3 linked regions of the Saccharomyces cerevisiae S288C genome follow. Changing the gene in region 1 together with any one later gene gives a genetic interaction. Each region holds a gene or a part of one and is shown on either strand. Other genes may lie near its edges.

Evidence for each region.
Region 2: mutations in YLR162W (region 1) and DSE4 together harm fitness more than expected from each alone (negative genetic interaction), as found in Saccharomyces cerevisiae (one large-scale study listed by BioGRID).
Region 3: mutations in YLR162W (region 1) and AUS1 together harm fitness more than expected from each alone (negative genetic interaction), as found in Saccharomyces cerevisiae (one large-scale study listed by BioGRID).

The regions. Positions count from the first base shown.
Region 1 is NC_001144.5:487,627-490,491, reverse strand, and holds YLR162W (uncharacterized protein), read right to left. Parts: upstream 920-2,865; coding exon 563-919; downstream 1-562. Other genes in the region: RRT15 (Rrt15p), read right to left, coding at 1-86; YLR161W (uncharacterized protein), read right to left, coding at 1,151-1,495. UniProt on the Saccharomyces cerevisiae protein: Overexpression confers resistance to the antimicrobial peptide MiAMP1.
Region 2 is NC_001146.8:755,184-760,714, reverse strand, and holds DSE4 (endo-1,3(4)-beta-glucanase), read left to right. Parts: upstream 1-1,615; coding exon 1,616-4,969; downstream 4,970-5,531. Other genes in the region: YNR068C (uncharacterized protein), read left to right, coding at 1-648.
Region 3 is NC_001147.6:347,797-354,425, reverse strand, and holds AUS1 (ATP-binding cassette sterol transporter AUS1), read right to left. Parts: upstream 4,748-6,629; coding exon 563-4,747; downstream 1-562. UniProt on the Saccharomyces cerevisiae protein: Transporter involved in the uptake of sterol.

The sequences.
Region 1 (2,865 bases):
GGGGACTCATGGAGAACAGAAATCTCCAGTAGAACAAAAGGGTAAAAGTCCCCTTGATTTTGATTTTCAGTGTGAATACAAACCATGAAAGTGTGGCCTATCGATCCTTTAGTCCCTCGGAATTTGAGGCTAGAGGTGCCAGAAAAGTTACCACAGGGATAACTGGCTTGTGGCAGTCAAGCGTTCATAGCGACATTGCTTTTTGATTCTTCGATGTCGGCTCTTCCTATCATACCGAAGCAGAATTCGGTAAGCGTTGGATTGTTCACCCACTAATAGGGAACGTGAGCTGGGTTTAGACCGTCGTGAGACAGGTTAGTTTTACCCTACTGATGAATGTTACCGCAATAGTAATTGAACTTAGTACGAGAGGAACAGTTCATTCGGATAATTGGTTTTTGCGGCTGTCTGATCAGGCATTGCCGCGAAGCTACCATCCGCTGGATTATGGCTGAACGCCTCTAAGTCAGAATCCATGCTAGAACGCGGTGATTTCTTTGCTCCACACAATATAGATGGATACGAATAAGGCGTCCTTGTGGCGTCGCTGAACCATAGCAGGCTAGCAACGGTGCTCTTGGCGGAAAGGCCTTGGGTGCTTGCCGGCGGATAGCAATGTCATTTTGAGTGGGGATAAATCATTTGTATACGACTTGGATGTACAACGGGGTATTGTAAGCAGTAGAGTAGCCTTGTTGTTACGATCTGCTGAGATTAAGCCTTTGTTGTCTGATTTGTTGGCACGAGCCGGCGGGAGCGGGCTCATACTAACGAAGACGAACCAAAAGATACACAGTAGCGGGACGAGAGTCTCGCAGCTGTCTGGCGGGCGGCGAAGTGCGGGTAACGCAGTAGCGGCGCTGTGGGCGCTGCTCGAGCGTTCTGGCAGAGAGGCGGTCCGGGTAAGCGTGTGCTGCATCGTGGCTCTCAGGTCTGTTTCGCTGGTCTGTGAGCGCTGCGTGTGCGTGTGCGTGTGCTAAGACGGGGTCCGGGTAACGTGCTTGCGCGCGGAAAAAAAAAAAAGATTGCAGCACCTGAGTTTCGCGTATGGTCACCCACTACACTACTCGGTCAGGCTCTTACCAGCTTAACTACAGTTGATCGGACGGGAAACGGTGCTTTCTGGTAGATATGGCCGCAACCGAAATAGTTAGGTGTGGCAGCCGTACATATGGAAGCCGGGCGATGGCTCCGCCACGTGCAAAGTGCAGGAGCTTTGGAAAGAGCGTGCATATAGTGATGAAAACAGAGAGCACGGTTGCGAACGGAGGGTCTCACAATGTCTCAAAGGATAAATCTCTTGGTTTGCGGGCCGCATACAAGATATGATTGTAGTTTTTTCAATGGCTCTACTGTCCCACTGCTGTACAACAGAAAATGAGAGATCAGAGAAATAGTATTCCGGAAGCCAGTGGTGTTTACTTATTAGTTTTTTGACGCCACTGCGCGAGTTGCTGCCTAGCTGTTCCTTGGCCAACGCATATTGGAACTTCATTCGACTGATATGCTTACTCAGAGGTCCATTACTTCAAGAATTGTCTCACCTATCGGGCTTGGCGTTTGTACAAGAAGAAACTTTCATCACCTTTGTTTCGCCACCAAATGAAAAAAAAAACTTGCATGGCTTAGGTGGTTCTTTGTCAGAAATATCTTCTAAGGATCAAGAGTCTTACGTGATTCTAATCCCTTGGCAAGTCAGATCTCAAATATGCTCACTCGCAGATGAGTAGCAATGAATGCGACCAAGTGACTAGTGACTGGTGACGACATGAGCCAAGCTGGAACCAGCAGCTTTCACGTCGGCTTATAGCTCTCTATGGGGCAATCAACCACTCATAGTGACTGAAGATCTTTTTAATATAATTACATTGCTAAAAACGTCATACCGCCTTGTGAGCACGATAAACAGCATATGCATTGAGCCTTGTTATTCTTCGGAACTGGGGATAGTAAAATGCGACCCGCTTAGGATGATCAAGCTATCTTTGGGACGGAGTTTTGTCATGGGAGTGGTCATCCTACTGGTGATGCTTCAACATTTGATTTACTAAATTTTGAAATCGGCCGCAGAATAAAACTATTATGTCCAAACAATTGATGGTCGAACCAACGTTAAGGGTTTCAAGTATTGAATTGAACTTTTATGAGTTCTATAATTTCGTTGCGCAAATTCAACTAAACCACCAATATCCCCCCTACAACGCTACACTTTATACCGATAGAGGAATAACGCATAGAGCCTTCGTAGAATTCTTCAACTCGTACGTGATGGGGATTCTAAACCTATCGTCATGTCGCTGTACAAGGCTGCTGCCTGCTTTCAAATTCCCAATTTTACCATGTCCGTTTCGCTGAGCCGAATCGTCACACAAGGTAATTAGTTCTGGGTATCGCTTCAGTATAGCACTGGTTTTTTCCTTGTAAAACCACAGTCTAACAATTAAATGAAGCTTTTCGAAGAAATTAGACCATGTTAGACTGAAAGCAAAGACTCCGGCCCGTTCTGAGGTAAGTTCAATGAAATTGGACAGTTTCTTTTCAAGGTTAGGTTTTGTGTTCGAAAAAAATAGATTACCGCACCTCCTTTCCAAACCCCATGAGTTTCCATTAAGGAAGAGCAACGTCAATAATACCACCTTTTGCAGATGTGATTCAACTCAAGATGCTGTAATCTTTCCCTTCTGACCCTAGATCACCTCATGATATCCTTTTGAGGCAATTAAAGCTGCAGTGTAAACTGTTGAATATCTTTTTGAAACCAAAAAAAAGGACGTTCCACACTTGGCTGCTTTCTTGATAAGCGAGATCTTTACTTGGAGATCTCGCTTAGTCCTCCGAAGGGTAAACCCCGTCTCTTATCTTTAA
Region 2 (5,531 bases), on another chromosome or scaffold:
TTAACAACGAACACAAAAGATTGCAAACCAGTGAGGTTCCACAGTGATTTACTTTTAAAGAAGCACAAATACAATGAAATTAAGAAAATATTTAAGGAAATTTTGGAAAACATTGAAGCATATCGCGATGAGTTCACTAAAAATCAAACAAAAATAAACTTACTTCTTGCCGATGACGCAAGAGCTAGCCTGCGTAATAGATCGCTCGATTTTTCTGATTTAATGCCTTCGAGTATAATTAAGGACGTACAGGTTTTAGCCAATATGGAAGCCAATGTTGTTGTCATGAAAAATGCGTTGAAAACGAAGTTGGTTGGAGAGAAAAGTGTGCCTGTTGCTTCTTCTCCTATATCCAGCATAATTCCTCGAACTTCTAGGAATAAAAAAACCTCCCCATCAAACTATCACCATTCGGTACTTTCACATCGGAAATCAAATGAATGGAATCAGGTCAGTTCAACTGAGTATAAGAGAACACTGTTATTGAATATAAAATATAATGATGATTTTAAAGCTACCATAGTGCCAAGTTTTGAAAGTTGTTTATGCTCGAGGTCATATTTCCTCCGCGTAAAACTTCATTTTGATAAAGGTGTTGGATCTGCTGAAATTGATATCCCAGTTCAAGTTAAAAACTCTTTTATTTGATAGATGGCTGTTAAAAAGAATGGTTTCACTGACGAAGTTTTTATCGCTATTGATATTACAGTATCATTACTGATAAACACCTTAGTTCTTGCAGAACTGAAAGTGATAAAGCAAGGAAACAGTGCGCAGTAGCAATCTCTTTTACGATTGTTCTGCGTTTGCCAAGGTATTCTCAAAATACTTTAAGTACTAAAAACCTAAATAATCTCTATACATAGAACTTTGAATTTTCATTGTTTAAAAAAATGTACGGAACTGCTAAGAAAATGTACAAGGTAGTGAAAGCCCACAGAGAGGTACATTTCAAGTGATAAACTTTGCTTTTTAGATTTGAAAATGTGAAATCTTACCACTCTTTAAAGCGACCATACTAGTAATAACGCAGGAATAGTACCACTAAATGGGTTGCCATCAATTTTATGCGCTGTAAGCTGCGCATATGTTTCCTACTTAAGGTTATAAGCATAGAACTGGCCTTTCCTTCAGCAAAAGAATAGAATAAGCCTGCTTGCCAAGAGAACTTGCTCGATAGCGGAGTGCTAGCTATTTTATGACCAATTTGGTATTTGCTGGCATATTTTTGAAAGATCTGGCTTTCTTTTCTTTTTTTCTCCCCTTTTTACCTGAACCTTGTTACCGAGTTCAGCTGCGCTAAGCTCTTTTCGGCTATATTTTGTTATGAAAGCCAGCAGAAAAGGCACGAAATCTCCCAATTTGGTTACCAAGGAAAAACTAGTTAATCATAAAGCTGAACCCAAAAAGTTAAAAATAAGAGCTGGGTATGAAAAGAGTAGCAAAGCATATACACCATACGAAGACTACAAGCGAGGGTAAAGGACTACATATAAATACTTGGTGCAATTTGTTTCAAAAATGAATATCAAGTATGTTTCTTGTGCTTGTTTCAACAAGTAGATAACCATAGTAACGGTCTGCATACAGAAAAGAAAACAAAAAAACAGCTAGTATGCAATTATATCTGACACTTCTTTTTCTATTAAGTTTCGTCGAATGTTCATATATAAGTTTCATATCGAATAATGCAGACGAAATATTGGAAACTGATTTAATTGAAACTTTATCTTACGCTACTTTGACAGTAGGTGAGCCTTATGTTGCACAATCGGTGGTTGTAACAAGAGTATCTGCAGCTTCTCATAGCCCTCTCTCAGTTTCGCCAAAAAATAGAGTGAGCGCATCTCCAATTAATTCACAAGACAGTGATTCTAATACAAGAACAGCAGTTCAACTGTCATTGTCGTTATCAAACTACGCAAGCCAAGTATCTCAAAAAATAAGCGCACAAACCAATAATGATCCTGTCACTGTTTCAAATATTTACGCAAATGATAATTCGAAAAGCAAAAGTTCAGTACACAATTTGAGTTCGGTTTCCGGCGTCGCCTCAGTCATGCCAAGTGCATCAACAATGCGTAAAGTCACCACATTATTATCTCAAACTGCTTCGACTTCGACTTCGACTTTATTTTCTTCATCTTTATCTATTTCGGGGACACAATTAAATGGAACTTTATTGACTTCTGTTTCAAAAGGTACAATCGATCCACTGGTAACTCAAATGCCTTCCTATTCTTCCCAAGAAACAAAAATTATTCCTTCTTCATTGACCTCGAATAAAACGATATATACTATTTCAGTAAGGACAAATGCAGCTACAGCTACCGGCGAAGATTCCTTCATTGCTTCAACTCCTGCTTCCTCGACTTTGTTCTATCCATCCAACTCAACCCAGGATTTAGTCCAGACGCTCGCATCTACAACAGCAAGCCCTGCTTACCCATCTAATAGGACACAAATCACTCTTTCTCCATCTGTATCACTATATTCGACAACTAGTCCAATTTACCCTTCAAACATTACAGAAAACGGTTCTTCACCATCACCATCACTATCATCGACTGTTAGTCCAGTTTATCCATCGAGTTCAACAGGAAACATTCTTTTGTCATCACTATTTTCAACAGTAGATTCTTCTTCCTCTCCGGTTTCTTCGACATTAGATACCATTTATGTATCTTCTTCAATGCAAGCTACCATCTCTTCGTCCTCATCTTCGAGACAAACAAAAACTTCCTCCTCTTCTCTGTCAACCTCGACCAGTAGCACCGCTACCACAACGGAGAACTCTTCAACAACGACCATTGTCAATCTTTTCAATGCTGTTTCGACAGATGAACCACCAACTGTTTTTGACAGATCACCAAATCCTATGTCATTGGCTGATGGGGTGTCAAACGATGGTCCCATTCAAACAAACAAGTTTTATACAAATTTGATTGTTGGTAGTCAGGAATCACCTGCCTTTGTGTATCCTTATTCATTGTGGAAGTACACCTCGAGTTCATATGGTTTTGCTGTTCAACATACAACAGTAGATCAATATAGCTACGGTGGTTATGACAGTTCCGGTAATGCAGAATATTTGGTCAATCCTTTGGGAATTGCTCATGTTGTTTTCTCAGCTTCGAATTTTGATTCAAGTATGACTATGCAAGTTGATGAAATGACCTTGTCTTCAACAAGGGTAGTGCTATCAGAATCCAATGATTCTTCGAACTACCTGGAAATACCTTTGGTTCAAGGTATGGGATTTGCAACTGGTATATATCATGGATCTTTAAATGCCAAGATTGGTTCCAGCGTCGGATTCAATACCATTGTTTCTGAATCATCAAGCAATTTAGCTCAGGGTATTCTCAAATATCGTATCACCCTTTTGAATGGAGTCACTTGGTTATGTTACGTGATAGGACCAGACGATTTAACCTCAACGGACTTTTCATTGGAGGTGAGCTCAGAATATGAAATTAAAGCAAGCGCTAGTGTTGATGGTCTTATCATTCAATTGGCCGTCGCACCTTCTGAAACTGATTACGAGGTCTTTTATGATCAAGCCGCAGGTATGTACGTTACTAATTTCAAGCTGCAGGGTGTCTCTGACGGTTCTACAGCTACCTATGAATTTTCTTATACCACCCAAGGTGAGTCGGCATCAGGTAGCACAATGATTTTTGCCTTGCCCCATCATGAATCTTCATTTAGTGATATAATGCAAGACTACTATACCGGCATTCAACTCGCTTCTACAACTAAGGGTGTAATGAACGGTTATCTAACAACGAGCCTACAATTTTCCACATCTCTAAACAGACAAATATCTTGGTTACCATGGTCTTCTCAACTTGGCTCAAACCTTTTAGAGTATTCTAAAGAACAATTGCAATTATTAGCTGAAGTTGCCAATTCCGAATTACAGGTTAGTATTTCCGAAAGTATAAGCGGGTTAAACACATATTATTTGGGTAAAGTTATCGATAAGTATTCTTACATTCTATTAACGGTCTCCGAAATCATCCAAGATGAAGCCAGTACTAAGAGTACTTTGGAAAACATCAAATCGGCCTTTGATATTCTGCTACAAAATGAACAGACGTATCCACTAATTTACGACACAAAGTTCAACGGTTTGGTCAGTTCAGGAGATTGGGGTTCCACCAGCACGCAATACGATTTTGGTAACACTTATTACAATGACCATCATTTCCATTATGGTTACATTATTCATGCAGCTGCTGTCATCGGCTATGTTGACTCTAAACTGAATGGTACTTGGGCTGCCGACAATAAAGATTGGGTCAATTCATTGGTAAGAGATGTCGCAAATCCATCTGAAAAAGATGAATACTTTGCACAATCGAGAATGTTTGATTGGTTCAACGGTCATTCATGGGCAGCTGGACTTTATGAAAACGGTAACGGTAAGAACGAAGAAAGTAGTAGTGAAGATTACAATTTTGCCTATGCTATGAAGTTATGGGGGGCCACTATCGGTGACCAGTCAATGGAATTGAGGGGTGACTTGATGATTAGTATAATGAAGGATGCAATGAACGACTATTTCTATTATCAAAATGACAACACAGTTGAGCCTGAAGAAATCATAGGAAATAAAGTGAGTGGTATTTTATTCGATAATATTATCGATTATACTACTTATTTTGGAACAAACACAGAATATATCCACGGTATTCATATGCTACCTATCACACCAGTTTCTTCTAATATTCGTTCTGAGACTTTCGTCGAAGAAGAATGGCAGACTAAAATCGAGCCAATTATTGAATCGATAGAAAGCGGCTGGACAGGCATATTGAAGCTGAATCAAGCACTCTTCGACCCAGTAGATTCGTATGCATTTTTCAGTGATTCAACTTTTGATTCATCCACATATTTGGATAACGGAATGAGTCGCACATGGGCATTAGCATTTTCAGGGGGACTGGCCAACTCAATTGCTTAGAAAGAGAACTTGGCAAGCAGGTCTGTCGAGTCTTTCCCACTACATACATATTTTATAGAATAAATCATTTTTACTTAACTTGAAAGTTGTTGCGTTCGAAAAGACCACGGCTAACGGAGACCACTTAGGTAAATGCATGCCAGTAAGAGGTATATTAGTACTTTAATGAATGAACTTAGCAAGGTAATGCCTGCACTAAAATAAAATTCTAACGTCATCCTAAGAAGCATCAATTGGACATAGTGAGGAAAAGTTTTCACCATTTAAAATTTGTTTTGCAGAATACCATTCTAGACTATGATCCCTTAGAGATTCTCATTCTTTAAATATCAGCTTCAACAGCATATCTTTATAGTATTATCGTACTACTGGCGACATTAGCAAATCAAAGTATTTTTGCTCAGTTTCTAGTTTTATCTGTTTGATTCCCCATTAGATGGTAAACACGTTGTCTTGATGACTGAAAAGGAAGTGAACATGGTCAACTCAAAATAACCAGACTCAAAATAATTGCAATTACCTAGGCTAGATATTTTTAGAATATTATGAGAATATTTTTAGA
Region 3 (6,629 bases), on another chromosome or scaffold:
TCCCAATATAAACAGTCAATGGAAGTAACCAGTTGTCAGAACGGATTATCAGCTTTTCATGGGATGTTACTTATCCTATATATTATATAAAATATGGATCATATTAATTGGTGGAAGCGCCGAACCTCGGATCTAAATTAATTGCTCAGGCGTCTATACGTTTGGGTGGTTAAGCTAAGGGAGGCGAAGTTATATGTCATGTTGCTCATTCTGTTCGTTTTGTTATAAGGTTGTTTCATATGAACGTTTTAGGATGATGTATTGTCATACTGACGTGTACCACTCTGAGAAACAACAAAATAACGGTTTACTGCTTCTATGGCCAAGTTGGTAAGGCGCCACACTAGTAATGTGGAGATCATCGGTTCAAATCCGATTGGAAGCATTTTTTGTCGTGCACTTTTGCTATATAAATATTTTTTGAGCGTCAGCGACAAGTATCTTTTTTTTTGTTGTACAAAGGACTCTTTCAATTGTTTAGTCAGTCATTGGTGACTTGTAAATAATTAGATTAATTAAAATTGCTATTAAGTAGAAAGTAGAAATATATTTAAAAATGGTATTAGTTCTGTACAGGCTTCTTCCCTCTGTGTGGAATTACTTTGGTGATAATTTTAAAGACCTTTGGCCATATTCTTGCCACGTAAGTTAAGTAGTAACCAGCAAACATCGCAAAGAAATTGAAACCAACAAAAGCCCATTCAATACCAAAGTTCCTCCAAACGTGGTCGTAACTCATATTCTCATTTTTCAGGAAGTCATCGCCAACAGTGTACGTACAATAAGCGCAGACTGTGAAAGTGTTCTTATTATGTAGATAGCCACCGTATTCTTCTATGAAAGCTTCCATAAATTGGCCACAAGATTGCCCCGTCAGAGGTTGACCAGGAACCATCTCCGACATGTCACACTTGATTTCCCAGTTATGCAATAGAATACTAACAAAAGTTTCCACAAAATATGTGTATGGCGAAACCCTGTACATGAATTTCCAAAAAGTTGGAAACAAAGAGTATGGTTGCATAACACCACAGAATGATGCTGTAAAACTGTAAATAAACGCAACAAAAACAGCAGCAGTTTGTAGATTAGGAGCAGTATAGATCAGCCATAAACCAAGAGTCGAGTAATAAGCAGCGAAAAGCATATAGTTTAAAAAGAAAACACCGGCACTCCAGCCAGCGTTGTTAAATCCACAAGAGAAAAAGGCACAGACGAAAAATAGTGTGGAACTTGTAAGTGCCAGTGGTAGTTCAATAATTGACTGTGACAAAAGAAGAACAGTCCAGTGATAAGTGTTAGATCTCGCCTCCCTAGCAACATAAACTTCCTTTGTTTTCAAGGCTTTGTCCTGAATTTGATTGATCAATGGAGATGAAACACAAAGAGCCATGAAACAGAAGAAGATACTATCCTGCAAACCGATAATATTATGCTTAATGTGCCAAAATGAGAAACCGATAAACAAACCAGCGCCACCATTCAAACAGTACTTGGCCATGACATAAGTCATGTCTCTTTTCGTACAAATATATTGTCTTCTTGTAATAAGAGCTAATTGCTGTAAGTAGGAAGGCTGCTTCCACAATGAGGTTGTGTAATCAACACCAGACGCACGAGCATCATCTTCTAACCTAGCTGTTTCTTTTTTAACTAGTTTCTTTTCTACAGAAGATTCCCATAATGCACTCCAATCTATGGCTTCTTTGTTCAAAGTAAGAGCTTCCTCCGCTGTATCTTTCCCTGCCGAGGAGTTACTGTTACCTACTGCATCAATGACGAAATCTGCAGGGTTATCATGTTCTTTATCGTAAACGAGCGTGTTGTCATGAGACATGAAATAGCCGCAGGCATCGTCCATTGGTCCAAAGAAGACACATTCACCACCCCTTTTCAATAAGAAAATATTGTCAAAATGGCTGATGACACTTTTACTAGGCTGATGAATGGTACAAAAAATAGCCTGACCCTGTAAAGAAAGTTGTTTTAAAAATTTGACGATTGTTAGTGCAGCCTCAGCGTCCAGCCCAGAGGTTGGTTCGTCTAGGAATAATAAAAGTGAAGGCTTAGTAACAAGTTCAACACCGATAGATAAAAGCTTCCTTTGAGTCGGGTTTAAATCAGCGACTAAAATGTCAGATGGCAATTTCAGTAAATTTGAAACAGTGTCTAAGTATGCCCTGTCACCATCACCTCTCAAAAGACATGATATTTCCAGAGATTCTTTCACAGACAGCAAATCTAGATGCAAATCCTGTTGTTGAACAAAACCAATACTTCTCTTAAACGCGTCCTCATCTGTCAATGGGTGGCCATCGATCAAAATTTCGCCGCTAACAACACCTGTCTCAACTCTTTGTGATAAGACATTCAGCAAAGTAGTTTTACCTGCACCGGACTCACCCATTAAGGCGGTCAAACCAGAACTGATGAAACCGGATGCATTATTAATCAGTTTCTTTGTACCAACTGTGTAGTTGATATTTTTCCAAGAGATGATATGCTTTTGAGTCTCTACTGTTTCCGTGATAGGTTGCTCGTTATAATCGTTTAGAGCCATTTCCTTATTTGAGGGTGATATCTGATATGGAACAGCCGACAGGCTAGACGAGGAAGACGAAACGGAGTGCGACTTTGGGATACCAACATACTTACTGTCATTTCTTGCAGAGGACCTGGTACCTCTCTTTTTATTCAAAAATGGTAGCCATCTTGTCAAACGACTATTGTTGCGCTCTATTTCATCCTTATTGAAATAAGGCTTAATATATTGAGATGCAAACAGAGTACAGGCAATAAAGAATACTAGGAAACCAATGATAATACCAAAGTTTCTCCACACATGATGATACGTGTAGGATAAACCTTGCTTCAAGTAATCACGGCCTCTAACGTAATCATTACCCAGAGTAGCACCTTGCCAAGCACAGGCCTTATGGGAAAATGGAACATCGTTGTAAGTAGGACCTCTTGGAACAATTGTCTCACTACAATCCAGCTTCAAATTGTAAAGCTCATTAGACAGTATTGCCTCCATAGCGTACATTGCAGGATTTAGATAAGCAATCCATACAAACCAAGGATGCATATTTTTCAGGTAGATGACGTAAGAAGCATACATTGCTATAGCTAGTAGCAGAATACCTGCAAATAAATTTGCAACTGAAATGGTTGGAGCAACTAGTGTCGTCAAAGCGAATAAGGACACCATACAGAAATTGTAAAAGGAAAGGAACAGGAGGAAAATGAAAAATCTTGCAGCCTTGTATTGCAGGTGAGCAAGGAAGTATAGGATGATACTGAATACAATTACCAAACAAAGTTTAAAGCAGTAGTCGAACACTGTTGTTGAAAGGGTTTCAACCCAGTTAGTATAGAAGTGAAGTTGGGATTGCTTTTTAACGACGGGTTGTCTTTGGAAGGCAATAGGCATATCTGCAAGAGAAAGAAAAGTGAAGAAAAGAATGGAGAAAAAGGTTAAAGAACCTCTTGAGTATGAACCAATGGTAGTCAACGGAATTTCGTAAAACAGTGAACCAATGACCAAAGATTGAATAACGACAGAAATAAATTGTGCCGTCATATAAGCTTTATCACCCAAACTTCGTTGAAAAGCTCTTTTTGTGCAAAATAATAATTGTTTCTTCAACGGAATATTAAAAATAGGTGAGACATCAGAGGGATCCACTTCCTTAATGGAGTCATCAATTGAAGACCCCTGGATTTGCTGCTTTATATTTCTATAGTACGAAGAATGTTTCCATTGATCATATAAATCGAAATCAGAATTATAAGTATACTTAGTGACTTCCCCTGTTGCGGTTTTGAGAACGCTAGCAGATGATGAATTTGATAAATTCCCCAAATTTTTATTTTTGAACTGAAAATTTAAGATAGAGGTCAGATATTCAATAATACAATCGTTAGGATCTTTCTCAATACCTAAAGTGTCACGAAAATAAGTCAAACACTCATCGACCGTACCATAGAAAAGCTGGTAGGAATCGGATAGCATAAGAATCTTGTCAAACTTATCAACAATTTTATCACTTGCCTGGGAAATTCTGACTAAGTTTACAGAACGAGTAGCTTTTGCCATTTTTCTAAGAATTTCCAAAAAATCGAGAGCTGTGGCGGAATCTAAACCTTTAGTAGAATTATCCCATAGATAAACGGAACCATTAGCAATAAACGTTTCAATAATAGAAATACGTTTACGCTCACCACCAGAAACACCACGGAAAAAATCATTTCCTACAATAGTTTTCAATACATGAGACAGGCCGAATTCTCTTAGAAGTTCATTTCTTATTTGATCGCGCTCACCTTTTGGAATATCGAACTTACAACTCAAGGCAAAATCAATTGTTTGTTCTACCGTTAGAAATGGGAAATGCACATCTTGTTCATTATTGTAAATGATTTGGTGGGGACATTTTTCGGAAAAGCTCTTAAACTCATTATTTTTAAATTTAATCGAGCCTGGAGGAGAGTATGACAAACTAGTTTTACCATGAAACAAAGTCTTAAATAGAGTGGATGTGGGATAACCCAAAACCAAAACCATTTCACCAGCCTCTGCTTGGAAGGTTATGTCATTTAGTTGATTTGCCGGATTCGGCATGCTGTCCTCAGCGTCATAACTCTTTTTTGACTCGCCTTGAGCATCGGCGCCAAATTGAATGTTCGCGCCATTGAAAGTGAGTGACCCGTCAGCAACGGGAGTGAAGTACTTTGAAATTGACATATTAATTCCAGAAAAAGCAGACTGCAAGGACTGAGAGATGAATTACAGCAGTCTTTACTATTCAGCTAATGCCTTCTCAAGTATGTTTTTTTTTTTTTCAATATGGATTTTTATGTCCAATAACTATTCAATAACTGCTTCACAGAAACGGTACTAAGGCTAGGGAAAACTTTACTTTTAGAACTGTTCAGTGCCTTAGAAATAAGGCAAAGGCACCGTCTTTATATTCGAGTTGGAAAATAAGAGTAGAAAGGACACACATTTGTGTTTTGCTCTGTCACATCGTACAGGAGGTAAGCTGCTGTGGCTGTAGTGACACTGAAAGGGACGCTGCTGATGAGCTCGTTTACAGTTCATCTAGCCTGTATATGGAGTGATCTTCAGGCACTCTCTTTGAAACTACCGTAGTTAATCGAAAAAAGGACCTGGAACGACAGCGCGTAAAAAGAAACGAGGAGCAGCAGTGCCTATAAGAGAATTCTCACTTTTCTATTGTTTAGTAAAAAGGTGTGCAATCCCCTTTGCCTACGAAGGCACATGACAATCACGTAAGCAAACGACGCTCTCTATTGTAAACCGTTCGTATGGCTTACTTTGCTCCATAAAGAGGAGGAAAGCTACAAATAAAATAACCTGTATGTACATATTACTCTATATGATTTAAGCTAATGACAAGGGGATATATGCAGTCTAATATTAGAACACGGTTTTTGCCCCTATGTTTCTTTGGATGTACTACTGCACCTGTATGCATCTGGCCTTTCGTTTATTGAGGGCAACTATGAGGGCAGAAGCTTTTGTGAAAGTTATATAAAGAAGAACTATCACAGAGGAAGGGAGGGACAATATCTATAGCGACAACGATTACGCAACGTTTCCTCCATATTGTAGTGATAAGTCAATGAACAGTGAATCCTAATTGATATGAAGTTATTGTTACTACAGTATGAATAAAGTTATGTTGAATAACATTGCTTTCTTTTTGATCGCTTCCTGAAATTGGTGCAATGGGAGCGAATTCCAAGTAACTCGTATAATTTTTTTTTTTCATAGGCCTGCGTGCTCTTCAACGTCAGGCATTAAAAAAAAAGAAACTGAAAACAAGTCAAAACAAAATTCGACCAACAACTACGAATCAAATTAAAACAAAACTTAGTCAACAACTGTAGTGCGTTGGCTGCTAATAATACGTTCTTGTAAGTATAAAAAGCAGACCTTCACCGCTTAATTGCTTTCTAATCATTTCTCACTTCTCCTTAATTAATTAATAAATTTGAAAACTGGTATCCTGTGCCAAAACATTTTCAATCAGTAGGTAAATAACTGTCCTTTGGTGAGGAAAAGTTAACTGCGCGTAACTATTTATCAACTATCCCTATATTTGTAACGTCAAATTACAAAATCGTATTTTAGTAGTCTTGCAAATGGTTTTCTGTTCCCATTATAGCAAAGACACCGGGTGACCATACTTTTTTGTAAACAAGAAACTTTTATTTTTAAAATCAAGTTCTCTGACTGTCAACACTAATGTATGCAGACACGACAAACAATTCATGTTTTGCGTACAAATAGTTCCTACTAAGTTCGGCATACATAATGTAGGCGTAATCTCTAAAAGTAAAGGAGAACTTGAACGATACTAAAATAATGTAATGTTGGAAAAAAATAAGGTATCAAATCTAACCATTTCACAAGGTACTCAAAAAAGATCCTATGTGAGTTAACAAGAAACTTAAAACAATCCATTACCTGCCTAGTATAATTTTTTTAGACCAGAATATGACTCCATAAAACGTGAAGCAGCAGCTAGAAAAACGACGCCTCGGCGGAGTTTGCGTTTAACTCTCATGTGCGGCCAAACAGGTGCGTAAGAGCTGTGACT